6 linked regions of the Nothobranchius furzeri genome follow. The protein of the gene in region 1 interacts with the protein of each later gene in a pairwise test. Links are inferred from orthologs where the notes say so. Each region holds a gene or a part of one and is shown in the gene's direction. Other genes may lie near its edges. The genes, in order: psma1, mid2, trim54, pomp, paraneoplastic antigen Ma1-like and trim23.

Region 1 (5,384 bases):
GGTTCCAGCCCGACGTCTCACGCACCGGCTACCTCTCTTTCCCCGTCTTCTCCGATGTTTCCTTCTCGAGCTGGGGCAGACAGAGGGCCGACACATCACGGCTTGGGGGGAGAGAGCACGCGGGCAGTCCAACCAGCAGCGCCATCCGTGAGGTTCCCAGCTCGCGCAACCCGCTACATCAACGGGAGGACGAAGCCTCAGCAGCGCAGCTCGATCGTATGTCACCAGAGAATCCACACCATACAAAAAAGCATCAGAGACAACAAAATGCATAAAAGCCAATAAAACGTCAATAAAAAGCAAGGTACCACTGCATAAAGAGGACGAGCAGCTCGCAGTGTGCACCCGCGCGAGCGCCATCTTACTCCCAAAAACCGGCAAACTGTTGACTCTCTTCATCCAGATCCGTAGGTTTTTGTGGGTCTGAGATCACTTCCAAACATTCATTCATTTCTGACTGAACCCGTGGAAATGTGGGCAACAAAAACCGATCCATTTTACCGCTAGCTCTACCTTTCACTCGTTCACAGGTGGAAAATGAGGTCAAAGGTTTACATCAGTTTCCTGTTTTGGTTTAAGTTTTTACTAACCATATGGTAATTTACTGATTATTTTTGTTTTGTATGTTAAATATTATCACATCCACACGTGAAATTTAAATTAAATTGTAAAAAAATATATAATATTTACTTGGGGGTGCTATGACTAATCCAGGGGTAGCTATAGCGCCCCCTAGACCCTGTTGTGCTTTAGCTCTATTTCTCATCCTTGTTTATGTAAAAATCTGAATATTGTTGGGATAAGTAAAGCCTGAGTGTAGATTAAATAGGTGTGAACACAGTGAGAGACCAAAAATGGACAAATGTGGGTACAATATCTCTCATTTTGTCTTGGTTCAGCTAGTTCTCCTTCCCACTGGTTTCTGCTGTAACAGCAGTCAGTGACGCATGTTTTTGAGTGTCACCAATTTGGTAAAATCTGTTGGATTTCCTCATTTACTGCTTCCACCTAGTGTTCAAGCACCATCACTGCATGTGTAAAGATGAGAGGTTTCTGTAGTGATGAGGAGAAAAAACCTTCGCAAAATGTTCAGAAAAACTACATATATTTATTTATTTTGACTTAAATTTTATGAGGATGTAAACCGCTTGAGATGAGCCATCTCATTTTCGAGCAGGTCCTCTTTCTTTACAATCAATAAAAAAAGAAAGACAACAGAGTCAATGTACAAACAACAAATAAAGATGATAAAACAAAAATAAATGTAAATTTAAAAAAAATTATTACAAATAAATAAACGAAATAAAAAAAAGTTTAAAAAAAGCCTGCATGAGGTCATTTTTTCCACATTATTTTTACATTTTAGTTTAGGTTATTTTTGGTAAATAAATATATGATTAATACATTGGTTGTGCTGTTTGTGTAACCACAAGTTGCAATTGACTCAGGGGCCTAGTGGTATGAGGGTCTACCCTGAGCCTGGGGAATGGTGAGTTCAAATCCCTGGTTCAAATATGTTTGGGCCATACCAAAGACCTTAAAAAAAGGGTTAAACCACCAAATGAGTCCCGAGTGCAGCCATGTCTGCAGCTCACTGCTCCCCAAGGAGATGGATCAAATGCAGAGAACACCTTTCCCACACCAGTGTGACAACTAGTGGGACTCGAATACCTACATCTCCTTTTCTTTCTCTAATTAATTTTCATAAACTTTCTTATCTCTATCTTGGTCTCATAGACTTTTCAGTCAAATGTGGCAGTCACTTGCATGTAACAAATTTCTATACTAAAATAGATTGATTCTTAATTAAAATGTTTGTAATTCTTAAAGTCCCATTAGTCATCACACATTGGTGAAATTGCTTCTCCACATTTGACCAATTCCTGTGGGGAGTGGGGAGTTGCAGCAGTGGCTGCAATTATTTGGTGGTTAAACAACATCATCATCATCATCATCATCATCATCATCATCATCATCAATAATAATAATAATAATAATAATAATAATAATAATAATATGTGCAAGTGTTAAAAAAATTGAAAGTCAAATAAAGCCCTAAGGAGAAGTGTGTCTTTTAAATTTTATTTTCATAAATAAATAAATAAATAAATAAATAAATAAATAAATAAATAACGTTTGTTCACTCAGTCGATCAGAGATTTGAAATCAGGGCTCTGCTGCTTTTCCCTGACGTAACGCCCAGGAAAAGAAATCGAGAATCGAGAAGTGTGGACCGCATCGCACACTCCTAATCAGAAATGGTAGGTTTGAATGAAATTTCATTTAGTCTTGCCAGTTTAAAATTATACATTATTTACACAAAAATAAAATAGTTAGTTTACCGTTATGCCTGTTCATTTATCATTTAGAGGATCAATTTAGTCGGTGTGAGCTAACATAACTAGCTTAGTTTTGTCTGTATTGTGAGTAAGCAAAACAGCCTTGGAAACTGTTGGCGCTACACTGATTATGACTGCCTACTCGCATAAACCAGTGTGTTTGCTTTACTGTGTTACATTGAATAATACGTAATGACCCCCGAAATTGTAATCGATATGACAACATTACTTATTTAGATGAGTCCAAAGCCGGCAGCAGGCTAACACTAATTGTTAGCTAACATTAGCTTCTAAGTTAGCCTTAGCAATGCTCGGGGTAGGCTGTGCTTTCGGTTTCTCAGCTCACCGTTCATTTTGATAGTGACTTATTTTGTCTGTCCGTGTGGTAAAGCTAAGATAGCTACGAATTGATCCACAAGTATTTCTAATGTCAGCATTTTACTAAACAATTGGTACACAGAAATCGAGCAGGAATATGACCTCAGCCAGTCTGAAGGCTGCTTGTGGTTCGGAGGGAGCTTAGCAAAATCGCGAGATTATCAGTTATTTATTCATTAAAGTAATTTAAAACCTCTGGGTAGAGAAGACCTGGCTGTAGACCTACAGGCACGGACATTGTTAACTTATCGCGTCAAAGAAATACGTGAGAAAACAGTTAATAAAATGCAAGACGATTATGTAAGTTCAACCATTGATGATTATTCTGTAATGTAAGACTTCTAAATCTAATTTTGGATTTGTTTTTCTTTATCTGTAGTTCCGCAACCAGTACGACAATGATGTGACAGTATGGAGCCCACAGGTAAGTTTTCCTCAGCATGAGTCACCAAGTGTAGATGTCACACAAGTTGCTTATGCTCGTTTTTGTGCACTCACAGGGGCGGATCCATCAGATCGAATATGCCATGGAGGCGGTGAAGCAAGGATCTGCAACTGTAGGACTGAAATCCAAAACACATGCAGTCCTGGTTGCACTAAAGGTACATCTCACTGCTGAAACTGTCACCAGTCTAGATTCCTCTCACTTGATGTCAGTAAGGGACCTGAACGTGGTCTCTTATTGACATTTACAAGTTTCTGTGTTGTTGAAAATGCTGGCCTTTTGCTGATTCCCATCCACAAGGAAAACTAGAATTATCATAGGATGAAGGTAAAGTTTATGGTTGTCAAGAATACCAAACTTTACGTGATGCAGCATGACTCTATAGCTAGTTTTGTAGGAGCACTACTCAGCCTGAAACTAGGGATGCATCGATCCACATTTTTTCACTTCCGATTCCGATAACTGAATTTGAATATCTACCGATACCGATATTATTTCGATACTAGAGGAATATTTGTTTTAATGTCATTATGATTATTATTATGGTTGATTTTATAAGGCTATAATAAACTCTTTTCTACAAGAATGATATGTAATTGAGAGAAAGCCCTACAAGTAAGAGCCCAGCACCATGTCCCAAAAGATAAGTTGAGATAAGCGAGGTCATAAAACAACTAATTGTCTATCCTAAAATAAAAATAAAAAAGCAACTAATGTTTCAAATTGAAATTTATTCAATTTCAAGGCAGGGTTACTGGACGCAAGTGCATTATGCACAATCAAAGAAACAAACCCTTTCAATTGAACTAAACAGCCCAGGTCCAAATAATCACACTAGGCAGTAACACATTTTTAAATTGTCAAATATGAATTGAAAAGGGTAAACTTCCATAAAACTACTCCAAATAAAATAGAGGGCTTTATCCAATCCCCACAAATTAAGTTCACTGTCTTTTGTAGTATCAAAAATGTAATTTTCAAGTATAAAATCACACTATCAAAAAAAAGTGCATCTGAGACAAATTCAGTAAGTCTTTGCTCATGTAGCAGTAAAAAAAACAAAAGTTTTCAAATGTTAAACATTTTGAATTAAAGAAAAGTGCAATGTAAACAAACAGCAACAGTGTGCATCTGAAAAGTACAATTCAAGCATTGGAGATTTTGCATTGCAGGTGACCTAGATAAAGTTAACAATCTTGTCAGAGTCTGGAACTATTCTTGAAAAAAAATGTAAATGCGTGAGGTACTTAAATGTTGTTCATCTAATCTCACTTAAACAATGACAGGTTCTTTCTGAGGAATATAAGCATTTCTGCTCTTTCTGCTGTCAGACCATTCCTTTTTTCATCCACAATATAGACCCTTTTACTACCTACGTCATCAAAAGTTGCGCGCGCAGCCTGGCAACGAGAGTGAAGGCTTTCTCATTCACACTCGATACTAAAACAGCGTTTTAAACCCTTTGTTTTGAAGTTCTGAGCACATAAACATGTCGGGTTGTTGCGTGTATGGATGCCAGAATCGCTTCTCTTCAAGCAGTGGACTGAAACTTTACAGAATTCCGAAGGGAGCACATCCATTTCAACAAAATCGGAGGCGTCTGTGGCTGCAGGCCATCAAAAGGGTAACTGCAGCCTTTTTCTGTTTTTCCCATCCTAACACAAAGCTCAACTCTGAATAAAATTGCTGCTGCGTGGCTGCAGCATGACCCAAGTCTGGAACATCAAAATGACAGAATTAAACAAATTTATACGCTTTCTCTATTTCTCTAAAATTAACACGAATGTACTCTGAGCACGCTAAAAAAAGAAACCTATGCTATACTCACCCTGCCATGCAGGTACAGTTGGCTGTGAAGACGTAGTTCTCTGGTTTGTTTACTATGACCCAAGCCTCGTACATAGCAGTCTTGTGTCCTTGTCTTTGGCTAGGAAGGACTTCTGCCTTCAAGACGCAAAACTCAGAGTCTATGTCGTGATATTTTACTTTCTGTACGTGGCCACAGACAACATAGTTGTATGCTGCTAACGATTTGTATGCCCATAGCTTCTCACGTGTGTACTTACTGGGCCTCTCCACTAAAAACGTATACATATATCGGGCCACTGGATATCTGGCCACGCACCTACATCTTCCACCCATTCCGTAATGCCACAGGGATCCGGGAGTCTGTTGCCATTCGTTAAAGTGAGTTTAATAATATAAAACTGTAAGCCATTCTA
Region 2 (5,470 bases), on another chromosome or scaffold:
CCTCTCACCCGGAGCAACTCCAGCAAAGTAGAGTGTCCAACCCCTCTCCAGGTCTCGGGTTCCAGAGCCAATGCAATGTGTCGAGGTGAGTCCGACTATATCTAGCCGGTACCGCTCAACCTCTGCCACAAGCTCCGGCTCCTTCCCCGCCAGCGAGGTGACGTTCCATGTCCCAAAAACTAGTTTTCTTGTCCGGGGATTGGACCGCCAAGGCTCCCGCCTTGGTCTGCCACCCGATTCGCATTGCACCGGACCCTTCATGTTCCTCCTGCAGGTGGTGGGTCCACAGTTGGACGAGCCCATGTATCCGGTTCGGGCTGGGCCCGGCCGGGCCCCATGGGCGAAAGCCCGGCCACCAGGCGCTCGCTCACGGGCCCCAACCCCAGGCCTGGCTCCAGGGTGGGACCCCGGTAACCCTCCGGGCCGGGTACTCCGACTCTTCATTTTAACCGCCATGAAAGATCCTTCGATGCAAGATGTTGGTGAAAATTAAAGCTACACTGGATGCAAACATATCTTGTGAATTTGCAGAAGCTTATTGAAACAACCTCACAGTGAATGGGTGCTGTAGTCAAAGCTAAAGGTTGTGCAACAAAGTATTAGGTTGTGCAACATTTTCTTTTGGTGGCAACTTTTTTTCCTTTAGCTCCAAAGGGCAGCAGTAGCTCAACAGGTTGAGCGGGTTGTCCAGTAATCGAAAGGTATCATGTTTGATCCCGGCTCTGGACAGAGAATTCTGCTGTTGTGTCCTTGGGCAAGACACTTAGCCCACCTTACCTGCTGGTGGTGGTCGGAGGGACCGGTGGCACCTGTTTTTGGCAGCCTCGCCTCTGTCAGTGCGCCCCAGGGCAGCTGTGGTTACATCGTAACTCATCACCATCAGTGTATGAATGTGTGTGTGAATGGATGAATGATACATTGTAGTGTAAAGCGCTTTGGAGTCCTTACTCTGAGAGGTGCTGTACAAGTGTGGGTCATTTATCATTTAAACTGTAATTCTATCTGTGTGTATTTTACTTTGTGTTTTTATGTGTTTTCATACCATGTCCTGATAATTGTAAAACACATTGAATTGCCTCTGTGTTTGAAATGTGCTCTAAATAAAGCTGCCTTGCCTTTTGCTGGGCAGTGTACTAATCAGCTAGTTGTTATTCTTCTGAGATTCTTATATTTTGTCCTCTTTATCAATTCGATAGGCAACGTTTAATTTTAACTGAAAAAATGGTTTCAAAAACTGTCAGAATTCCTGACAGTCTTCCCGTTCCGCTCTCTCCTTTTCCAGGTGAAGCTGTGACGCAGGGGCTATGGATGGTGATGATATTAGTGTATCACTTGTTTGGGTCTCAACCTCACTCATCTGTTACTGAATAGGTTCAAACATCGATGCTGTTTCTATGGAGCCACTTGACCCAGTAAAACTAACAGTTTTATTATAAAGATAAAGTTTCTTCTAGGACGCTTAAATCGGAATCGTGATCAGTTCGTTTCATCCAACTTTACAAGCCAAAAAATGTTTTTTTTCTTATTCACTTTATTTGTTCAACTGATCATTTTAAATTTGAAGCTATAATCCTGACAGCGACAGACGCTGAGGCGGGATGATGTGTGGAAGAAGAGTGTGGGTGCGCACGGCTCGGGTTTGTTGCGCGGCCACTGGAGCAGCGGTGAAACTGATCCCAGCTGCTACTGTTGGAGGGGGAGGAGGGGTGAGGAAATCTATTCCAGTCCCCTGTGGGTTGGTCACGTGCCCTCGTTTGGTTTGGGGGAACCGCGTCAGGAGGGAGAGGAGGAGGAAGCGCGCAGCTGCGCACAGCTGAGTTGGAAAAGCAACATCCTTCAGAAGCGGGTCCAGAAGATCCACATCAGTTGTTTTGTTGTTGTTTTGGGGCGTTGTCACGCGGTGTCTGCTGATACGCTGACACAACGCGTGTGATCACTGTGGCACTGCCTCGTTGAAACTTCTCTGCTCACGAAAACTACCATCCTGTCAGCGCCTGCCACAAGTCGACCTCCAGAAACACAGAGGGAGAGCTGTCACCGGGGACCGAGGTAGGCTTTCTGTCTCTTCCTATGGGGGCTCGGGGTGTTTGGGCTTGAGAGAACCGGAGCTGGACGGGTAAGCAGTTTGTGTGTGTGTGTGTGTGTGTTTGTGTGTGTGTGTGTGTGTGTGTGTGTGTGTTTGTGTGTGTGTGTGTGTGTGTGTGTGTGTGTGTGTGTGTGTGTGTGTGTGTGTGTGTGTGTGTGTGTGTGTGTGAGTGCACACAACTGATGCAGAAAAACGTCTCAGATTAATCAGCAAATGTACTCAAGCAAATTTCTCATTAGTGGTAAATTTTACATCTAGTAGTAATTATCTCTTTGCGCATGTGTTAGATAGTCTACAGTGATATTAGGATGTATTTAGCAACCTCTATTCATCGTTTTCCCCCAAGTGCCCTGCACTGATCAATAGTGACATTGTGTATTGATTGAGATGACATGACCTGAGCTGAACCCTGCTGTTAGCGCATTGTGGATGATACTTATTGACTTTTACTGTCAAAACTGTCAAATTTATGTTGTATTTTTATGTAAATAACAAAACTATAGATGTTATTGGATGATGAAGTAGTTGATCACTGAAATAGGATTTTTACCTTTTTGTGTTGGCTCCAGTGTTTTAACTGTTGAAGTAATGCTGCTGGTGACAGGAGACAAAAGCTGGTTTGAGTTTGGCCTCCAAAAAGCTGAGTCTAACATTCCCCCCCCCTCATTAATAATGCACCAATTTTAAACAATACAAATGCAGGGAAGCGGGGTCCAATGTCGAGTGTTGCTTCTCTCTATTTCTTATGTTTAGATGATGAATTCTCTATTAAATAAACTTTTCCTAATGTGAAGAGGACACATTCCATATGGGTGGTCAATGTCGATCAGCCATGGAGTAGAGCGTTGTGCTTAATGAACTGGTGTTTCGCCAGCTTCTAAAAAGTCATTTATGGGCCCGATCGTTCTTGCTCTCTTGTTGCTGGATGATCACAGCCTTTAATGAGACAGGTCTTTGTGCATGGGGCTTGACACTCTCTGAGACAAGGCTGCTAGTTGGGTGAATACAGCTGACACCCTCATCCGTCAGGCACCCACAGGGTGCTGCCTACTTTCTCACTCTATCCATTTACTGCCTCTTTCTCTCGTTTTCAGGCTTTCTTTCACTCCTGCGCTCTCCCACTGCACCCTCAGATGATAATTATTAAGACTTTATAATGATGACATGAGCAGTGAGGGTTTTTTCCCTTCTGTGGGGAGGAATGGGTGTTGGTGTCTACACGCTGGGATGATTATAGTTGTGACAGAGGGTTGGAAATCATTGCAGTTGAAGCATTGACTTCCTAGAATAGTTCAGCCAGGTATCTGTTTATCTCTGTGTTTGTTTCTGAAGCTGGAACTCTGTTCTCGGACAAAGCAAAGGAGGATCAGCCTTTTACCAAAGAAACATGTAAATATTAAACAATGTAAGATTTTAAAAAAGTACATGTTTTTATTTGTTTTGATTATTTGAGTTTTTGATTGTTAACTTGAGATGATAACGCTTAAAGAAAGATGCTTTACTACTTATAGGTTATGAATATGTAAAATACACACATAAAATACACACATAAAATACACAACAGCAGTAGCTCATGTGGTGGAGCGGGTTGTCCAGTAATAAGAAGGCTGCAGATTAAATCCCGGCTCTGACCAGAGATTGCTGCTGTTGTGTCCTTGGGCAAGACATTTAACCTGCCTTGCCTGCTGGTGGTGGTCAGAGGGACCGGTGGTGCTTGTGTTTGGCAGCCTCGCCTCCCTCAGTGAGCGCCAGGGTGGCTATGGCTATATTTTAGCTCATCGTCATCAGCGTGTGAATGGGTGAATGACTGATTGTGTTGTGAAGTACCTTGGGGGGTTGTAGAACCCTAAGAAGGTGCTAGGGTCTGTTTCTGAGCTGCAAGGCCTAGCTTGGTCCTTTGCAAGGCCAAGTGTCCACACTAGGGCTGGACAAAAGGATTATTTTTGTAATCAATTAATCTAGCGATACTTTTTTCGATGCTTCTAACTAATCTGTCAACTTAATTAGATTTCAATTCGATTAGATTATCGATTATTTCCCCATTATTTGACTTCTATAGCAATTTGAGTATTACTAATGTATGTATCTCAATGAAATAAACACACATTTCTTCATTTGAACACATTTTATTAAAAAAAATTCTAAAATAAAGTTGTTGTAGTAGTAGATGACGCACCTTATATCTATATGATCAACAATCTGGAGGAGCATGAAGTATAGAAAATAAGTTCAAACAGGATGAGGTATTACACTTTACAATCAAGAGTTCATTGTCATTTTGCTTTAGCAAGAACTTCAACAATGTTGGAATAGTGTCTACGACGGCCGTGACATTATCTTTAACATTTTTACTTTGGCCAATTTGCGCTCTCTCACATTTTCGGCTCTCGGCAACTCTCATAATCAGCATGTGCGCATTCAGAATTATTTTGCCAGCATGAGCCACAAATAAAAACCAACAAAACAGGTAACAGCTGCTGCTATTTGTTACCGCTATAGCAGCTTCAATGAGTTGAGGTTGAATGTTTTTCTCAGTGTGTGTGAGTGAGTGAATGAGACTGTGAGTGCGTGGGTCTGCTCGTGTGTGTGAGTGAGTGCATGTCTACGTGGGGGTGTTTGGATGGTAAATAACAGCGTTAAAATTTGAGAACTTACGATGTATTTTTGTTTGAAGGCACTGCTCCTGGATGCCGTTGTTTGATGTGCTGGTGAATGGCCGTCGTGGTTTCGTCATAGGCCATTTCCATTTTACAAAGCTGGTAAATGACTGAATCGCTTCCTTTTCTGTTGAAGTAGACCCATACTTTTGAACTGTGAGTGATTTTCGCCGACCGCCTCACTCATGTTGTCGCTACTCGCTGCTGCCGTGTTTGTTTTGAACGTGATGACGCATCGATGCACATTTTTTACGTGGACGTATTTTGGGATGAGTCGTCCCAGCCCTAGTCCACACCTCACCCTTCTTCGCAGTTATGGATGATGGACAGTAACGGAATGATCCATGTGCACTCCTCTCTCTCACTTATAACAAACGGTAGTGGAAAATTCTGTGCGCAGCCCCTCAACCCCACCCCAGCTGTCACGGAGGATGGACGGCAGCGGAACGATCCATGCGCAGCATAGTAGCTGGTTGCCTGCCCACCCGATTGCCGGCCATCATCACAATGGTATTTAGGGCTGCAGCTATCGAATATTTTTGTAATCGAGTACTCTATCGAATCTTTTTTTCGATTAATCGAGTACTCTAATAAATTACCCTTTTGTGTTTGTAAACCTTTATATCATATATTGATGAGCCAAGATGGCGCCGAGTATGGCTGCCTCGTCGCGAGCTCCACCAAGTTCCAACATTGCACGCTCCATACTGTACATTAATGCCACTGT
Region 3 (4,705 bases), on another chromosome or scaffold:
TGATTTCATTTGGCCCGATCCGAAGTGTGAAAGTTTCTTCCACCAGCAGCGCGTCAGCTGTAGATGAAACCAGCTGAAGACACTGGAGGCTGATGAAACGCTGGTGACTCAGTCAGAGGGCCGTCGTCTGTGTTGGATCTGGTCTTCTGATAAATAATAAAGAGCTTTTGAATCGGATGTGGATCAGGGACGACGACGATGATGATGATGATGATGATGATGATGATGAGTGGTCGACTGTGAGGCTTCATTTCATGTTCTGTAAAACGATTTCTGTTGTTTTTCAGCTCATTCATGATTTTAATGTTAGATAAACTCCATTTACTTCATGTAGGTCGGCCGCTGTGGCTGTAAACACAGATTTTATATATAAATACAAGAAATGATTATTGAAATCACATTTTAAACTTGACTTGCTTCTCTGGTGTGTTCTTGCTGCGTTGAGTTTCAAATTCCATCTTTCAGTTCTTTTTAAAACACACAAAACGTTTACCTGATGATGTTTGCAGCCGCAAACGAAACGTTGCAGGTAAATAAACCTTTTCTGTGTTTTAAAAAGAACTGAAAGATGGAATTTATTTGCTTCTAATTAGAAACAAGACTAAGTCGTGGAGGCTAATATAAATGAATGATTTATTATATTTTATTTTATTTTAACTAAGTAGTGGAGGCATATAAATGAATGATTAATTTAATTTAATTATTTATTTTGCAGATTTGTCCAAATTTGAAATGGGGAAGTAAAACATTTTGTGGAATTTAGTTTTGTGTGTGTGTGTGTGTGTGTGTAAAAGTAAATAAAAAAATAAAAAACAACAAAAATCTACCAAACAGGAAATCAATAATTTATAAAAAAAATTATATGAAAATGTTTTAATTATTCAAATGACCAAAACTGGAAAAGAAGTTGTGATTTCTATCTGTTTTCCACAAGTTGTCCAAGGCTGGGTTGACCCAGACTTCCCTTTCTGGTCTTTCTGAAGAATTCCAAGATGTTTCCAGGAGAGAGGATTTATAATCCTGCTGGTAAGGTCCAGGTCTGCCTCAGGCTGTCCTCCCAGGGGCCCAGAAACCCTCCAGAGGAAGACGAGCAAGAACCATCCATGACAGATGCCCCAAACACCTCAGCTGACTCTCCGATGAGGAGGAGCAGCTAAGGAAACTCATCCTGGTGTCTTCCATCCAGGATCTTGTTTTGGTCATGATGACAGACACAACAGACCAAATCAGAGGTCTGCTCTCCTCCATCGCTCAGGAGCAAGATACTTTAGCTCCTTCATAGAGGCAATGACCTGTTCCAAACCCAGAGGAAGAAACCCAACTTCTTCGGGTGGAGATCCAGAACCTCGGACCTGGAGGAGCTGACCAACCCAGAACCACAGAGATTAAATGTTGAGGTTGTCAAACCAGCATTTTTTATTAAAACAGATAAAGTTAATATTAAAAACAGAGAAAACAACCAGGTTTGGTAGAGTTTCAGTTCTCATGGGAGAACTTTACTTTGTTGACTCTGTGCAGGTGGAGCTGAGTGACGGGATTGCTGTCTTGGTTGCCAGTAACGACCAAGTCCAGGCGGCCATCTCTCAGATGGAGGAAATCTGCCGCAGCATCGAGGTGACACCCACAAACACCCCCCCCCCCCCTTCCTGTTACCTAACTGATCCTACCCACATGTTCTGCATGTGGTCAAGTACATTTTCAGGTCCTTCGTCTGCGTTTTCCCTTCAGGAGAATGCTCACAGACAGAGGGAGAACCTGGCTGACCAAATCGACGACCTGATGGCAACGTTGGAGGAGAGAAAGCACGAGCTGATTGGATTCATCAGCAAACATCAGGATGACAAACTGAATCATGTGCGATCCCTCATCAGCTGGCACAGCGACCACCTGGAGACCGCCGTAGCACTGGTGGAGACGGCCGTTCGATCCATGGACGAGCCTCACATGGCTTCGTTCATCCAGGTGAGGAACACACCTGTTGCATCATGAATCAGGTGCAGAGAGGAAACAAGTCATGCTCTTATTTGTTTTATTTCAGACTGAAAGAGAAGGAGGAAAAGAAGTTATGAGTTTAGCTTATTAATATTCATGATATTCAAACGTCTCGCCTCTGATTGGCTAACAGCAACGTGACTCTTCCTCTGTTCGCTCTTTGGTAAAAATGCAGCGTTCACGTTACGTCTCCACCAACACAAAGCTGAACGTGTTCCGTCATGCTTGGATTAGCTAATGCTAACGGTTAGCTTCTACTCGCCGAGACGCTCTGCTGTCTCCTTCCTGTGGGTGGTTCTAAACCAAGGTGGGCGGGATCACGAATATGAATTTTCCCTGTGACATAGAAGAGATTGGCTTTCTCTGACCCGACTGTTGCCCCGCTGCTGATGCAGGTGACTAGGGTAGAGGAAAACGTTCAGGGTGCACGTGCAACTCACCACGACAGATCAGGTTTCTACAAGAACAGACATTAGTGAACGAGACCTGTAAAGTATGAGGTGTGTGCTCACACGTGTGTAAATGTCAAACCCTAACCCTCATGAAGCTGGGAACTTCTGGGGAACTCAGCGCACACGAACCGTTGAGGGTTGGGGAGAGCTTACAGGTGTGGCTCACACAGATAACTGAAGGAATCTTCTCCTCCATCCACAGATCTCCGATGTCCTGCTGGAACGGTGAGTGTGTGTGGTGCGAGGCTCTCATTCGGAGGTATTTAACTTCCTGTACACATTTTTTTCGATGGAGGCCATCAATTAGCATCATAAACACCAAAGCATGTCTGCACGCAGATTTTTAAAAACTGGTTTATTAAAGCAGATTTCCTGTGATTTAGAACCGCACCATTTCATCTGACCTTCAGCTGAAAAGCTTGAAGGTGATTGTGGTTTTAGTTGCTGCAGCTTTGGCACTGAGTAAACCTGCCCAGTCATCAGCTCTCACACGTGTCACCTCTGATTAATTATTGAACAGATCCAACTGTTGACATAAAAAAAACAAGCAAATCTGCTCTGCCATCGGCGGCCGCCTCGTGTGAACGACCGGGGATCTGTGTGTGTTCACTGGCTGATGGATCGAGTCAATATTGGCTTTTGACAGATTTATTATTAATCAGTGAATTTATGGGTTCCACACCGGTTTCATCTTAGAGAAAAATAACCTGTAATGAGTCGAGTGTGGAGGTTTTCATTGTTTAATTTGAGTTTTCATCGTGCAAAAGCCTTAAACATCGCTATAGTAACAAGAGTGGCTAATAAAATAAACAAAATGTTTAAAGTTTAAGCCCATTTTTATATTAAACAGCTGCAGGGCTTGAGTTTTATTTTGAAATCTGTGTTTTGACAGGATGTCAGTGGTGATGAGAACCTGGAACCTTGAGCGCCTGGAGCTCAGTTACGAGAGCATGGACCACTTCATCATCAACACGGACGACATCGCAGACTCACTGAGAAACATGGACTTCTGCTCCTGCATGTAAAGCAGAGCTGGGATTGCAGCTGAGGTTCATCCAGCAGACTCCCTCAGCACATCTTAAAGGTCCCACATCACGCTATAGAGCAAAGGTCAGCTCAGCAGATGATAAAATATTATTATTGAGATGTCCTTTTATCTTTCACATGAGTTATTTCTGTCAGCCTGAATGCATACCCGGGAAAAAGCTTTGTGTCCGTGAAGCTCCTCCCATACCTGCGCTTCCAAGATGTGCCTTCAACAGCATCTGTGATGTCTTTTGTGGTAGTCCAGGGGTTCAAGTGTGAGCTTCTTATTCTAGTTTCGCCGCGTGCTGATGTGGGTTTGAATCCCGGTGGCGGCGGCAGTAACTTATGTAGCCAGCTGAAGCAGATTTCATGTTTTAATATTTTAGTTTTGTTGATTTTTTTCAGTTAATTATTTTGTGTAAAGATCTTTGAAGCTGGTTGTTTCCTAGCAGCATTTGAGCTGATTTACTCTGCTCACCTCTCACGGACTCACACCAGCTAAATAAACAAAATAAAAACACAAATTAGTCCTTACTTTGTAAACAGTTTACCAATAAAGGGTTGAAAACATCATGCTGGCGAGTTACTGCTCAGACCAGGATACTAGCACTCTAATCTCTGGACTACCAAGTCTACTACATGACACGAGTCACCTACGACACACATCCTCCACTGACCAGAGGAGACAGGTTTCAGACCAGAGACTAGCTTCCAGTAGAGGAGCAGGGCCTAGTTTCCATTGACGCTTCACGAGATTTTCAAAGTAAAAGTCAATGTTTGCAGCTGAAACAGGGAAATGCATGAATGCAGTTAAAATGTGTTTGTTTTTTCATGACTAAACAACAACATCACGTGGTTAAAAAGCTCCACAAAGTGACATGGCCCCTTTAACTACCGTTAGCAGACTAAAACCAGCTCTGCGTGCCTCTTTAACTGTCGTCGTCGTCGTCGTCGTCTTCCTCCGCTTATCCGGGTCCAGGTCACAGGGGCAGCATCCCAACTAGGGAGCTCCAGACCGTCCTCTCCCCGGCCACCTCCACCAGCTCCTCCGGCAGGACCCCAAGGAGTTCTCGGACCAGATTGGAGATGTAACCTCTCCAACGTGTCCTGGATCGACCTGGGGGCCTCCTGCCGGCAGGACATGCCCAAAACACCTCCCCAGGGAGGCGTCCAGGAGGCATCCTGACCAGATACCCAAACCACATCAACTGACTCCTTTCGATCCGGAGGAGCAG
Region 4 (4,730 bases), on another chromosome or scaffold:
AAAAATTAGGGGGCACCCGGATTTGAACCGGGGACCTCTTGATCTGCAGTCAAATGCTCTACCACTGAGCTATACCCCCGGTTGCTGACAAGCGATCTATTTCCGGTTTTGTTTCATCTAAAGACGGCAGGTTTGGAGTCTGGTGGGTCAGATTCAACATGCAAGGAATAACTACTGCCAGAAAATCAACGGAGTGGCTGTCGATAATCATTTTCAGTTTCAATTTCGCATTTTAACTTCTGTGGCTGCCTGTGCCATAGACATGAATACGTAGATGCGCCATTGGACGCTGGACAGCAGCGTAACATCGCCACCGCCATAGTGGGTAGGTCGCCTCCATGGACATAATATATGCCTCAATCAAAATTTTTGTGCAGCCCATGGTTCAAACAACCGACGCACGTGAGATCACTATTGACATTTCTAGTCTACTTGTTGGAATTTTATATTTTTATTTATTTATTTATATTAATTATCACACCATACGTTTGAGACTAATGTATTTTGAAATGATTTTTTTTGTGCTTGCTTGAAGTGTCACCCCCAAATCAACTTTTTTTTCTGATAAACTATATAAATGCGTGTCTAATCGTACTGCAGACACGTGTAGTCAATAATTTAAAACTTTAGGGCATTTTAGTTAAATTTTCAATTATCTGCCTCAAACTGTCACTGTTGTGCACCTGTCCTGTTGGAGGCGTGTGAGTCTTTATTTGTTGCTTGTTACTACTGTAAACAACACCCTCAATCTCGTTCTTGCACCTTAAATTACTCTATTATTCAGTTGATCGGTTATATTACACAACTCTAGTAAATCATTGCTTTGTTGTGGGGTGACACACTTGATCGCCAGTAACAAAGGTGGAAAACAAGCTAACTTTTCACCGTTTTCCTGCTTAGAGGCAAAACCACGGAGACCAAATATCTAACATAAAGTCTCGTTGGCTTGCTTGGATCGCAGCAACAAGGCGACCAAACATCACCTTCTGGAGTATTTTCATTCTGGAAAGTTACAAATAGTGTATGATTTTATACATCGTTTCTTTCTTTCAACCGCGACATGCACATGAAACACACACACAGAGGCTACACTCACATACCGGTGAGCTAATGCAGGTGCTCTCACACACAACACAACTTCTCTTTTTATACTTCTTCTGTTAGATTATAAATTTGATTGTTTTACTAGAAACACCAGCAAATAAAACGTTTACCTCTCATTCGGACGTCTACATCTGCTCACACCGCAAACAAGTAAGCCGAAAATGTCCGTTATGCAGAACTGCAGCGGCAACAATATGTCATTGGTGCTCCAGTCTTGGGTCTTTCATGTGGATCAAAACCATTTATAATGCTCATTTTGACCACATACCAGTCCCCAACGTCTTTTTTAACCTATCTCTGTGTATTCCGCATCCTTTTTTGGGGGGGGGGGGAGGAATGATGTTTTTAACACTTTCTTTCACCCAAATTAGCTTTTTCTCTGCACCAGTGCCGTTTGTTTCATGGTGTGTTTACACTTGTCAGCCTTCCAACATGGCACATCCCAGCATGCTATGCATAATCACGTGTGACCACAAGCCCTATACTAGGGGGTGACTTGCTCTTTAAGTATATTGTTGTGGGTTAAAAACAAAGCAGCAAAGTGTCTCAAAATTGCTAACCTTTTAAAGATTTATTACTTAAAAAGATTTACAAACACTACATGTGTGTTTCACACATTTGTCCTTTACCAGAATGTTTCATCTGTCTTGTAATTTCCATTTTGTATTTTGTAATTTGTATTTTGTAATTTGAATTTCTTTTATTGTTGATTTATCCAATATATTTACATACAACTGTACAATGTTCAGCGCTTTGGGCTTCCTGACAGGGTTGCAGAAGGCGCTTTATAAATAAAGCTTTGATTGATTGATTGATTGAAACACTAATTTCTTTCATTTATCTGTCCACAAACCATCATTTTTTAAAGAAGTGCAAAGATAAACATGTCACATTTTTTGCGCTTCCTACAATAGGGGATGCAAATTTCGGCAGCTAAGCTCTTTTCGGCACAACACCTTTGCACCTCACTCGTATGATGTCTGTGGCCTGTGCTCTACACCGGATGTCACGTGTTCTAAACACTACAGGAAACGGAAATTTAGGTGGGTCAAAAAGAAAGCGCAAGGAACAAAATCACAATGGTAAGCTAGCATTATTTAACACCAAATTTAAAACTATCCTTTACAGATTTCTAACTGCTGACTTCATCTATTTAACTATAAATAAGTGTACTTAACCCCTCCATGTTGTAGATTATATTCAATATGCGCTTTGAAACGCACCCATTTTGAATTTGATTAGTCACCGGAGCTAATGCTAGTTAGCCTTTTGGGTTATTAGTGCTGGTGTCTAGCTGATGTTAGCGTCGCTGTTTGTGTTAGCTCAGTATGAGCTGATTTAAACGTCATGATGCGATTTTGTGTGCTACAGAATAGCCGAGGACTCCACTCCCAGCTGAAGGACAGTGTCCCTGTCGCTGGACTTTGTCCACAGGGTGCTTACGGAATGCAGGACTCTCTACGCAGCGGGTAAGAAACTACCGCTTTCATATAAACCTAATATTCTACTAGTGTACAGTTATTTAATGACAATCAAGTCGGTGTTATTTTGATAATGAAATAAATCTTTCATTTTTTGTCTAACAGCTTCACGAGCGTAAAGAATGAGCTTCTTCCCAGCCACCCGCTGGAGCTGTCAGAGAAAAATGTAAGTAGTGTTTTACAGCTGTTTTCTGATATGAAGGGACATCACCGTGGTTTTTCATTGTCCAAAGGTCAATCAGGATGAGACTGAACACAGCTAAAATATCAGCATGTGTGTGTCATCTGTGTAATGTTACAATAGACTGATTCCTCAGTGAATAATCGTTTGTTAATTTTTTAACTTTATCTATTATGGAGTTTCTACAGGCTGCTAACTAATCTTTGTGTTTTATACTTTGTAGTTCCAGCTTAACCAGGATAAGATGAATTACTCCACACTCAGGAACATCCAAGGTCTTCATGCTCCACTCAAACTGCAGATGGAGTACCGAGCAGCACGACAGGTAGCTTCGCCTCCTATCACCTCTCCCACATATGCATGCTTCAGTTTTTAAGGCTTTGGTTTTTTTATCCTTCCAGATCCAGCGTCTGCCTTTCTTACCGAGTTCCAACTTGGCTCTCGACACGCTCCGAGGAAGCGATGAATCCATCGGCTTTGAGGACATCCTCAGCGGTGAGAGCCTCATCCTCTTTGTAGACTTTGTTTTCTGACCTCCTTACGGTCAGGTTTAAATAAATATTTAGTTATATACTCTTTTATCACACTACTGCATTCTAATAGTCTTTATGATATCGTCAGCTGAAGTCTGAGTCTCAGATCTGTGTGTGAACATGTGTGCAGACACATTAGCATGAAGCCTAACTAATCATGATGGCTGTGTGTTTGCAGATCCAGCCCAAAGTGAAGTGATGGGAGAGCCACACATGATGGTGGAGTACAAACTAGGATTGTTGTGAGAGCTCCTGTAAATAAAAACCTACACAAAATATTTACTTTGTCTTCTTCAGCATATATTTGATATTTCATTCCAAAACCAAAGTTAGAACCTCAGCTTTTGGAAAATTGTTATTAGAAATCTGTTTTTCTAGCAGGGCCTGGTGTGAGTCAGTGTGTCGGTGTAAAACACACAGAAGCAGGAGTGGTACACCACTTAAGGTTGTTTTTGTGTGATGGATTTTGATTATTTCTAATAAATTTCATGACCTTCCTTGTGGTGTGACTTCATTTCTGTAGTTCTTCATCTGCTTAGCTTGACCTTACACTCCGTTGTCTGAATCTAATACAGCCAGTCAAATAGTAAAAAAAAACCCGCTGGAATTTAAAAAAAAATATATTTTTCTGTGTAAACATGGTTTGTAACACATTTAGATCAACATGACCATAACTTCTTGTATTTAGAGAAATGTATTAATGTTTCAGAGCACAACATGAAGCAGGGTCATCAGTAGGTTGGTTGTGTGGCCACTAGAAGGCACTTAAAGACCGTTCATGGTTCAGAAACAACTCAGAAGTAGAGCCGCTGTGGGTTCTGCAGCACTGTTCTGTGCTCGGGTTAAAAATCAAATTACAACTAAGAAAGATTCTGCTGAACCTTATGTATCCTGCAGTGCAACATTCAAAGTGGCCACGAGGTTATCAGCCTGGAGTGGGTGTCTGAAAAACAATTTGGTCTGCAGGTAAATATTTACATAATAGGATGACTTGCAAGTCTTGTTTTCTGTATGATTCCAGTATTTTGATGGTCAAAATCATGTGATTATGCCTGTTTCCTGTTCATATAGGTGAAGGAGGGAGCTGCCCTCTTGAGGGTCCTATGCCGAACTTTCTGACAGATGCCGCACACGTGACGTGCTACATTTGCTGACATCACTACATGTCTTTTATGCAACGTGTAAACAGTTACTACCTCTTTTGTTGGTTTTGGGAGGAGAAGCAGTGACAACCCCCCAACTGGCTGAGAATGAAATCCTTCCAACAAAAGTGAGACATTAGTTTTGTGTTTATTTCATTGTAGAATTCTTATTGCACCTTTAAATAAAATCAGGGCCCTAACCACTCGTGTCTTTTATTTTCCTTTCCTTTTAGTTATTTTTAAAATGTTTTAAAATTTTTCACAAAACAGTGAAAATTGATTAATTTGG
Region 5 (3,938 bases), on another chromosome or scaffold:
AGGGCGCTAGTAAGTACGTTGTGGTTGTTGTGGTAAAAAAAAGAGAAGTGAAGAAGAGAGAAATAAAGCGGGAGTTATCTCCGGTCCTCTGTTCCTACTTACGTGTGTGTGTAATGCTTGCTGGATTAGAGGCACACAACAACACTCTAGCAGCCCATTCAGCTGGTAGCCATCCCCATGTCTTAGCCATGTGCTCAAATCGTACAAAGAAGCTCTTAGGATCCTCACCTTCCTTGAAGTCAGGTATTCTAGGTTCACCTCCATGGATCCTGCCAACCCTTTGTGCTGGAACGCTTTGTGTCAGCTGCAGCTGAGGTGGTGCAGGCAGTCGTAAAGGAGAATGAGGATTATGCTGGTATGGAGTCCAACTTTCAGTAACCTGTTTAAATTTTGAACTATGTTTCTACTGAGAAGTCTACCTGGGTTGTAGGGCTCCAAAAGGGGCAGAGCTTCCTCATCAGTTTCACCTAAATCCTCTTGTTGTTTTCTGGGAGAAAGTATTGCCAGATTTTCGTAAATTTCTTCTTTTGTGTTCTGCCATTGGAATGAAATGAGCTGCAGTCTTTTGTAATAAACTGCAGAAGGATATGTGATCCAATAAAAAGCACAATGAAAACAGACACATGTGCGGTGAGTACAATTAGATGTGTTTTTGTAATTGAAATGTCTTTTTTACACTACAGTTACAAGGTCACAACACACAGATTAATCAAAAGATAAGGCAGAGAAGGAAACAAAGGGGTGTGCAAGTGTATGTGTGCAGATGTACATGTGTAGCCTGGTCTCAAATATCTATTCTAGACCCTACAGGTTAAAAGGATATAAATATTGTGTAAAGCCTTTATTGTAAATATTTCATATATTTGAAAAAACAAGGAGTTCAAATGGTTAAAAATGTGTTTAAAATCACAATAAATAGAAGTCAATCATAATTTGAGTGTTCATGGAGTTATAAGTAACAATGAAACTAAAGGTTTATCTAATGTGAAACAAGGAAAACTTTGTATTGTTTCAAGTTGTTTTACAAGTTCATTTTGGGTTGTCAATCTTGTATTTTCTTTTATCCCATTGGTTGATGTAAACCTACTGTCCAATCAGACGTAAGGGAGGCGGGAGCTAAGTGAGGCAAAAGAAAGAAAAAACAGCGAAGCTAGTGAGAGTCGGCAGCAGCACGTTGCGGGAGGAGGTTGTGTACCAGAGCTAATGGAAGAATAGTGAAATAATAGCCGTGGATGCAGAGTCTACGTTCCTGTTATGGACTGTTTTACCCTGTGATGAGTGAGTACTGAATGTGGAGTTAGCATTGAGCTTAAACGGAATGTATAAGTACTTAAAATGTATGGTGCTAATCGCGAGTTAGCATGTTAGCATTTTAGAGCCTGTAATAGCTATGTATGTCGAGTACGTAAGATACAGCTTATTCTGTGGAACTAAATAGTAATCTCTAATGCACAGTGGACCGAGAGGAATTCTCTGGACTCTTCTGCTGTGGATAGGAGTTCTGTGTGGTTGTTCCAGTGTACTCAGCAGCCCGGGTATGCCGCTAATTCCGACCACCTTGCCGAGTGGAGGCCGCATGGTCACCAACCAAGACTGCCCCTCCGTTTGCCTTGCACTTAGCCCAAAGGATTCATGAGTAGACCTGAGCACGTGTGTTTTGTTTTCTGCTGGTTATCAAGTGAAGCGGCCATTTGTTTGTTTTCTGGCCCAACGAGCCCAAGCAACGATCAGGCCTGCAACGGTTTCAGTGAATGAGCTCACAAAGGTTAAAACTGGTTAGTCATTGTTTCTCCTGTTTACCAATAAGATTAGTTAATGTACCCAGGGCCCCGCTCATAGTACTATCACCATCTTAACCGAGGGTTAATCCAGAGCTACTTGAGTTGGGTGCTACACATTTGGAGGCACCGCTGGGATTGTTGTTGTTTTATCTACATTTTAAGTTACCACTAAATCTGCTGTAACCTTAAAGTAACTAAGAGTAACACTGGTCCTAAAAAGCAACTTCAATTAATCTTTTTTTTCCCCCTACAAAGTAACTTGTTAAACTATGGCCACTAAAAGTGATGTCTCACAACCGAATCTTGCAAATTGGTGCAGAGGTGAAGGGCTCGATCAGGCACATGCCATTCTAGTTGTCGGAGTGCCTGAAGAGGAGGACCTATCCACAGTAGAAGAAACACTCGAACAAGTAAAAACCTTGGGCAAGGTAAGAGTAAGAGGAAAAATGTTTGATGCCAATAATCAAACCCTGACCATGTTATGTGAATGCTGTGAAGCAGTCGATCCTACCAAAGTTCCGCCAGAGTTGATTTCCTTTAAGGATGGAAGTAAATGGACAATAGTTGTTGCAGAGCAAGAAACGAACTCCGACCTATTCACAGAGAAGTTGGACAGATTTCTGCGTGATGAAGGGAAAACAATGGAGGATGTTCAAAGACTATGTGATCCTAGAACTCCATGGAACAGCAGCCCTGAGTCAATCATTCGGGTGGTAGGTGATGTGTTGCAGTCCAAGCCAAATGAAAGCAATTTATACCGTCGTTTTAGAATCTTCTCAGGAGTCTACCCTACTCCACCTGGTGAAGACAACTTGGATAGCTGGCTAGAACAAGTAAAGTTCATGACTGATGAGTATGAGTGCTCAGATAAGGAGAAACGCCGAAGAATTATTGAGAGTCTCAAAGGGCCAGCGCTGGAGATCATTCAAGCAGTGCGCATGTCTAATCCCCTGGCAAACCATGTGGACTGCATACAGGCATTGGAAAGTACCTTTGGTACCGCAGAATCCGGTGAGGAACTGTATCTCACATTCAGAGCTATGCATCAAAGACAAGGGGAGTGCTTGTCTAACTTCTTGCTGAGACTGGAAAGATTACTGAACAAAGTCGTGCAAAAAGGAGGCCTACAAGTAGATGAAGCCAACCGAGCAAGGCTTGAGCAACTCATTAAAGGTGCTACTGAATAAGACTTCATGCTGCTTCATCTAGGTCTTAGAGGTAAGCGAAGTGATCCCCCGACATTTTTAAGTCTACTGAAAGAAATTCGAGAAGAAGAGGAGCGTGAAGCTGCAAGACAAAAACTGAAAAAACCAGCACAGAGACAGCACGTGCATGCAGTGCAAGTAGCAAGTGAAACAGACTCCAGAGATTGTCAGCAACATGAGTTTCAGTCCGAAATTCAAGTGCTAAAAGAAAAGCTGAAAGAGCTCAGTAAGCAGTCTCATTCTACAGAGTCAAGCCACAAAAAGATGTCCAGAGAAAAGAAAAAAGAGAAATCAGACACAAGCAGCGAAGTGCAACAGTTAAGAAAAGAAGTCAAAGAGCTGAAAACACAGTTAAGTGTCATGTCGGTAACGCCACAACATTATGCAAAAGAGAGAGGGCACTATTCTAAGTTCAAAGCGGACTTCAGTCCAAAGTCATCTACCTTTAAGCCAAAGAGTAGTAAAGAGTCAGATAATTTCTGCTACAGATGTGGAGAAAATGGCCATTTTGCAAACAAATGTACAGCTCCGGAAAATGCTCAAAAGGTAATCAAAAAGCTTATTCATCAAGTGCATGGAAGCCCAAATGGACAAAGTCAAAGTACCGACGCTCAAGATCAGTGTGTTGCTCGAGTTAATACTACCAACGTTCCAACTCAAAGTGCCAACATACCGGAAGGTCTTATTGGTCCATCATCCATAGCTCCTAATAAGGTCAATAACATCTCATGCCATGGTCTTATGGATTCAGGATCATCAGTGACCATTATCTTTGAGGATTGGTATAGAGCCAATATACCAACAGTCCCTATACAGCCCATTTCCAATCTAGCCATCTGGGGCCTATCAGCTGAGTCCTACCCTTACCATGGGTATGTAGTAGTAGAGATAGAGTTCCCTGAGAATGTAGCAGGTGTCAAGGGTCCTCTTAATGTCCTCGCTCTTGTTTGTC
Region 6 (5,296 bases), on another chromosome or scaffold:
TATCATCTGATCTAATATTTTTAAAATGATGACATCAAACAGACAAAAAATAATAAGTTATGGGCAAATATTGGTATTTTAAAGACTAAAGGGGAAAAATGTAAACAAATAAACAACATAATTACAAAATAACATATTTTAGGCAAAATTTAGACACAAACTGAGGACAATATTTCCTGACATACAGGGTTTATTTAGTTGTGTGGAAATGTAACACATTTAAAAAAATACCGCGATAATACCGAAAACCGTGGTAATTTTGGTCACAATAACCGTGAGGTTAAATTTTCACACCGTGACAACCCTAATTAGCATGAGGAAGAACAAAAACACATTAAAATAGTTTTGAATGGAAATGTTAAACCACAACAAATTGAATTAGTTTTTTTAATTAACCATGACTTGTTTTCTTCTGTTATTTTAATGTAATCATAAATGGGATTAGAAACCCTAACTGGCTTTTGCTAAATTACACACTTCTAAGTACCATTGACTAACATAGCAGGCATTAGTGATGGTCGGGTGACTCATATGATGAAAATAATAATAATAATTTATACTTTTTTATCTTTCTGTTGGACATTCTCTGCATTTGACCCGTACCTGAGGCTTAGTGGGCTGAGATCGAACGGCTCACCTTTTGATCTACCCCCATTCCGTCATGGCCGCCCATATCTGCTTCTTGTTGCTGACTAGTTATTTATTGCGTATCTTCTGTTTTGACAAGTGAACCGATCAGCAGTGACAAAAATAAATATTTTATTACTGTAACTATTTTATCAAGTTGAAATGGGTACACTAGAAACTACTGATCACAAAACCATTTCACCCAATATAAATTGATGGTGGCTCAGGGGTTAGTTCACCCGGTAACTGGTGGGTCATCATCAGTGTGAATGGGTGAATTATTGACTGCAGTGTAACGCACTTTTGGAGTCCCTGACTTAGAAAAGCACAGTACAAGTGCGATTTTTAACTGCATCAGCAAGAGAATCCCTCCATGCTGGAGTAACACTTGAAGTTCAAAACTAAAGCCCAGTTTTTACACACTGACCTTTGACCTCGGTGGGTGCTGGGGTGGTGTTTGTTGTGTGGGAGACAACTGAAGCCTCTATGCAGCTGTCGGCTACTTTCTGTCCTGCACACATTGCCTTCAGGGTCTGGAAGACCGCTTGGGGAGCCACGTTCATTTTCAGGAGGTCCACTATGATCCTACAGGAGGGCAGAAACGAATCCTTTACTCATTCGCCGCGTGAAGAACCACATTTCTACCGGTCTCGGTTCACTCACTTAAAGACTTCTTGATCCACAGTGATGCCTGCAGCCTGAGTCAGTTCAAACAGCTCACTTTCTTCAGCACTCAGGATTTTCTTCTTCTTTATGGCATATTTCTGCACGTTTGCTGTGACCACCAGAGCAGGGAAGTCAGGAGCAGATGGCCCCGTCTGCTGTGTTGGCTGAGACATATCAAGTCCACCTGAGTGGTGAGAAAATGGCATTTATGCGCGAACATAAAACGTTAGCCGCGCAGAATAAACATATGGCGAAATTCAACCGCTCACTGAAAGGTAAGTAAACATAAAAACAGGTTATAAACAACAAAAAATACGTTTTTAATCAAACATGTGTTTATACCGTTAAAGCCGCAGCTTTTAGCGTGTAGAATCCCGCTTATATCCACAACTCCTCTCTGTAAACACGGCGCGTAGAAAATGCGTCATCATCACGGAACGTTCACGCAGCATGATGGGACATGTAGTTAGAAGCCTGTGGTTTGTTCTCGATAAATGTATTGAACGAGTAAATAAACATTAAAGTTGAGCCAGTTAAGCAAAGCATTAGATTTATATAACAAATAAAAAAAGCTGAAGCTGCTTGGTGGTCGTTTCAACCACGGACTTATATGGTTTAAAGGGTAAAAAGTAAAGACAATTAAAAGAATGAAATTACAGAGTCCTCTGACTCTGAAAGGCGCTATACAAATGCGGGTCATTTATCGGTTGTTTATCACTATGCGATTTATTTAGTGAACGTGGGTTACAAAATTACTACAAAAAGTATACCAAAATTGACACCGCGGAAGTTGTTGAGGGATTATCCTCTCACGCATGCTCAGTTCTCTCGCTCGCCGTCGTCGAAGAATGGCCGCCGCTGCAGCAGGAATAAACAAGCAGGGCGCAGGAGCGACGATGGAGACCTGTCTCCGGCACGGGAGGGGAGCCAGTGGAAGCACCGTGAAGGTCGTAAACATGTCACAAATTTCCGCAGCTAGGTCGTTATTGCTGTGAACATATTATTTGGTTAGCTTTGGTGATAAATGTCCGCTGGTTCAGACTTGCTTGATGTATTTCTAGTTGGAAGCTAAGGCTGCTGCGTTGGCGTTGGTCGCAGTGGGTGCCAAATACGGATTTTGACAGTGTAATAGCTGTGCAAACGCGTTTCATCATGTTATTGTAGCCGTTTATGCATTCCAGAAGACTCGTTTGTCATTAAGAAGCGTTTGCTGCGAGCTAGCACCAGCTCGAAAACCGCCGGTTGGCATTAGCACAAGTTTCTGATCGCTGCAGCCTTATAAACAAAAACAAGCAATCAGCTAGTCAGTGCATTATAAGGGTGTACAGTAGCAGCTGTTGGAAGAATTAATTTTAGTTTACAGAATAAAATGTGGGCAAAGCGTCTCGTGATGTTTACCTTGGGAGTCACTATGTCAAAGTGACTGCAACACCCTGGGATTTTTTTATCTCATCACTATTTTTCAAGTACCTCTGCTTTTCTGCATCAAGTCAAACCTAAAGTTACAAATTAAAATTCCTTACAAGTGTGCGTGATCCTGAGTGTGGAAGTCACCTTGCAGCAGATACAGACAGACAGACACATAGACAGGCAGTGTTCAAGCTGTGCTGTCACTTGCAGGTGCTGGAGTGTGGTGTGTGTGAGGACGTCTTCTCCCTCCAAGGTGACAAGGTCCCCCGTCTTCTGCTCTGTGGCCACACCGTGTGCCACGACTGTCTCACCCGGTTGCCCCTCCACGGCAGAGCGGTCCGCTGCCCCTTTGACCGACAGGTCACCGAGCTGGGTGAGTGAAGGACATAACATAATTTGGCCTTCGAAGAAGGATGCAGATTTGCAACATTTGGTAGAATTTTATTGAACTGAACAAATTCTGAGGATGCCTGGGAAAATGACAAAAATATTTCTTCAATCACTAAAAACAAACAACTATTCATCTCAGAAGTAACATAACATCCAAGTGGTATTCCTGACTGAAATTATCTTGGAGTGGCAAAGCACAGAGAATACACAGTCATCATAAGATGCAGGGTGTACTTTACTGGTTCTTGGACGGCAGATGCAAATATGCTGTTAGGCTGCAGAGAAAAGAGCTCACAATCGAAAACAGTCTAATGTAGGGAAATAAAACATGAACACATTTCAGATCCAGACCTTCCTTCGTAGTAGGTTTGATTTGACTTTGTCCTAAAACTTTGTGTAGTCTTGCAGTATTTGTTTACATCAACATCTCCGTTATTTAAAGTCATGCATTGGTGCTGACACTGGAAAGTGAAACTCAATTCAGTTTATTTATAAAGCGTCAAATAACGACAAGTCGTCTTGGTGCACTTCACAAAGTAAAACATAGGGATGTCCCATTCCGATATCGGAGGTCATTCCATATCAGCCCAAAAACACTGTATCGGATTATATCGGATGGCATCAAAAGTCTCCTATAAAAGCGGTTCGTTAAGGTTCACATTTTTGCAACTGTAGCTGCCAGATGAGCAGCTGATGGCAATGACTCTTAATTGGCTCACAGATTTTATATAAGCCACACCCTTCCAGAGAAAATGGCTTGGGTTAAGTTGTTTGTAGAGAAGATAACACTTTTGAAGTGTTGAAATTATGTCTTTGGTCTAAATTCACCTCAGCTGCACAGTGCCGACTGCATCCCCACGTAAGTTTTGCTGTATTGACGCTTTTGTTTGGGTTATTACTTCGACACTCTATAGTCATTGTTTGTTATTCTTGTCCATCCCCACTCAAATCTACAGATAAAGCAGCTTTAAGGACTTATTGGTTTGTTTAGCATCCTTGGCCAGTGGAGCAAGGTAAATGTGAGAATATAATTCATTTCTGTTATGACATCGAAGTTGTGTTCACCTTTTATTTATGCTTTGTATATCTCTAAACAGTTTTCACAGTGCAACTCATGGAGTGAAGTCCAAGGCATTGGACCAGAGAAACGAATAAAAGTTTATGCACCCGTCGAGGCTCTCCGTTCTTTTCTTCATGGTGCCAGGGGCAGCTACAGCAACCAATGGTTACAAAAGAAATTTTTCATACTTATTGTTATTGGCTGTTGTTCTCCAGTTGAGTAATATCAGTTGATCAAGCCTTTCATACATTCCACATTAGGAAACGGGTAAAAGTATGATTTGTGCTGATATCGTATCAGATTGATATCTGTAACGGTCAACACTGAAGGCTGCAACATCGATATCGTATCGGAAGTGAAAAAGTCGTATTGGGACATCGCTAAAAATATCCAATTGACGTGCATGAGTTTTAGACCAATAATGAAATTCAGCAAGACAATAATTTTGTCCATTTAGCGTCTCTCCATGTGTGTGGAAATCATGACTGTACGGTGCTGGAAAATCTTGAAAACTCTGAAGGTGGTTGAATTGAATCTGGACAAAGGTGTAAATGTTCTCTGTTGCACTTGTAGATTTTTCCTTCAGTACCTTCTAAGCAGAGCTCCACTCGATTCAGCCCAGTTTCACTAGTAACGGGTACCAGGTCGCTGCTCCTTTATTTGTCTGCTTCAAAGTGGTTCCAAGTGTACCAAACTGGGACGAAAAACGCAACGTCAGAGGACTGCCAGTCACTGATTGGCTGGGGGAGGAAGCATTGGATGCTCTGGAGTGTTTCACCTTCCTGCTCACAGAGTGAAGGACAAAGGGAGTTTAACCCTTTTCCCAACATTGCTACTCAGCCAAAAGCGGCTCGGAACAGCCAGGGTTAGCACAGCTCCCCTCACTGTAGTTGGTTTTCTCCGCCAACTCTGTGATGAAAAGTGGGTGCACTCCTCATACCAGGTCAGTAGGTATGGGGAGAAAAAAGTCTCAAAAGATTTGTGTGTGTGTGTGTGTGTGTGTGTGTGTGTGTGTGTGTGTGTGTGTGTGTGTGTGTGTGTGTGTGTGTGTGTGTGTGTGTGTGTGTGTGTGTGTGTGTGTGTGTGTGTGTGTGTGTGTGTGTGTGTGTGTGTGTGTGTGTGTGTGTGGACCAGTATATCAGG

Evidence for each region.
Region 2: the proteins of psma1 (region 1) and mid2 interact in binary tests that used the Homo sapiens proteins (3 or more experiments, as listed by UniProt). The two-hybrid records come from large-scale screens. The link is inferred for Nothobranchius furzeri from reciprocal best matches to the Homo sapiens genes PSMA1 and MID2.
Region 3: the proteins of psma1 (region 1) and trim54 interact in binary tests that used the Homo sapiens proteins (3 or more experiments, as listed by UniProt). The link is inferred for Nothobranchius furzeri from reciprocal best matches to the Homo sapiens genes PSMA1 and TRIM54.
Region 4: the proteins of psma1 (region 1) and pomp interact in a two-hybrid assay, tested with the Homo sapiens proteins (2 studies listed by BioGRID, with this or other methods). The link is inferred for Nothobranchius furzeri from reciprocal best matches to the Homo sapiens genes PSMA1 and POMP.
Region 5: the proteins of psma1 (region 1) and paraneoplastic antigen Ma1-like interact in binary tests that used the Homo sapiens proteins (3 or more experiments, as listed by UniProt). The two-hybrid records come from large-scale screens. The link is inferred for Nothobranchius furzeri from reciprocal best matches to the Homo sapiens genes PSMA1 and PNMA1.
Region 6: the proteins of psma1 (region 1) and trim23 interact in binary tests that used the Homo sapiens proteins (3 or more experiments, as listed by UniProt). The link is inferred for Nothobranchius furzeri from reciprocal best matches to the Homo sapiens genes PSMA1 and TRIM23.

What each region holds. Positions count from the first base shown.
Region 1 is NC_091744.1:46,382,190-46,387,573, forward strand, and holds the start of psma1 (proteasome subunit alpha type-1), read left to right. Parts: upstream 1-2,146; 5' UTR 2,147-2,258; coding exon 2,259-2,261; intron 2,262-3,096; coding exon 3,097-3,141; intron 3,142-3,217; coding exon 3,218-3,319; intron 3,320-5,384. UniProt on the Homo sapiens protein: Component of the 20S core proteasome complex involved in the proteolytic degradation of most intracellular proteins. This complex plays numerous essential roles within the cell by associating with different regulatory particles.
Region 2 is NC_091741.1:89,375,506-89,380,975, reverse strand, and holds the start of mid2 (probable E3 ubiquitin-protein ligase MID2), read left to right. Parts: upstream 1-1,912; 5' UTR 1,913-2,049; intron 2,050-5,470. UniProt on the Homo sapiens protein: E3 ubiquitin ligase that plays a role in microtubule stabilization. Mediates the 'Lys-48'-linked polyubiquitination of LRRK2 to drive its localization to microtubules and its proteasomal degradation in neurons.
Region 3 is NC_091742.1:14,270,490-14,275,194, forward strand, and holds part of trim54 (tripartite motif-containing protein 54), read left to right. Parts: intron 1-1,518; coding exon 1,519-1,614; intron 1,615-1,728; coding exon 1,729-1,962; intron 1,963-2,646; coding exon 2,647-2,669; intron 2,670-3,336; coding exon 3,337-3,469; 3' UTR 3,470-4,705. UniProt on the Homo sapiens protein: May bind and stabilize microtubules during myotubes formation.
Region 4 is NC_091747.1:41,727,452-41,732,181, reverse strand, and holds pomp (proteasome maturation protein), read left to right. Parts: upstream 1-2,070; 5' UTR 2,071-2,183; coding exon 2,184-2,186; intron 2,187-2,475; coding exon 2,476-2,573; intron 2,574-2,690; coding exon 2,691-2,751; intron 2,752-2,989; coding exon 2,990-3,091; intron 3,092-3,167; coding exon 3,168-3,261; intron 3,262-3,477; coding exon 3,478-3,545; 3' UTR 3,546-3,796; downstream 3,797-4,730. UniProt on the Homo sapiens protein: Molecular chaperone essential for the assembly of standard proteasomes and immunoproteasomes. Degraded after completion of proteasome maturation. Mediates the association of 20S preproteasome with the endoplasmic reticulum.
Region 5 is NC_091745.1:26,673,915-26,677,852, reverse strand, and holds paraneoplastic antigen Ma1-like, read left to right. Parts: upstream 1-2,050; coding exon 2,051-2,968; downstream 2,969-3,938.
Region 6 is NC_091746.1:63,287,166-63,292,461, reverse strand, and holds the start of trim23 (E3 ubiquitin-protein ligase TRIM23), read left to right. Parts: upstream 1-2,093; 5' UTR 2,094-2,108; coding exon 2,109-2,240; intron 2,241-2,913; coding exon 2,914-3,076; intron 3,077-5,296. Other genes in the region: mzt2b (mitotic-spindle organizing protein 2), read right to left, coding at 1,055-1,212, 1,291-1,466.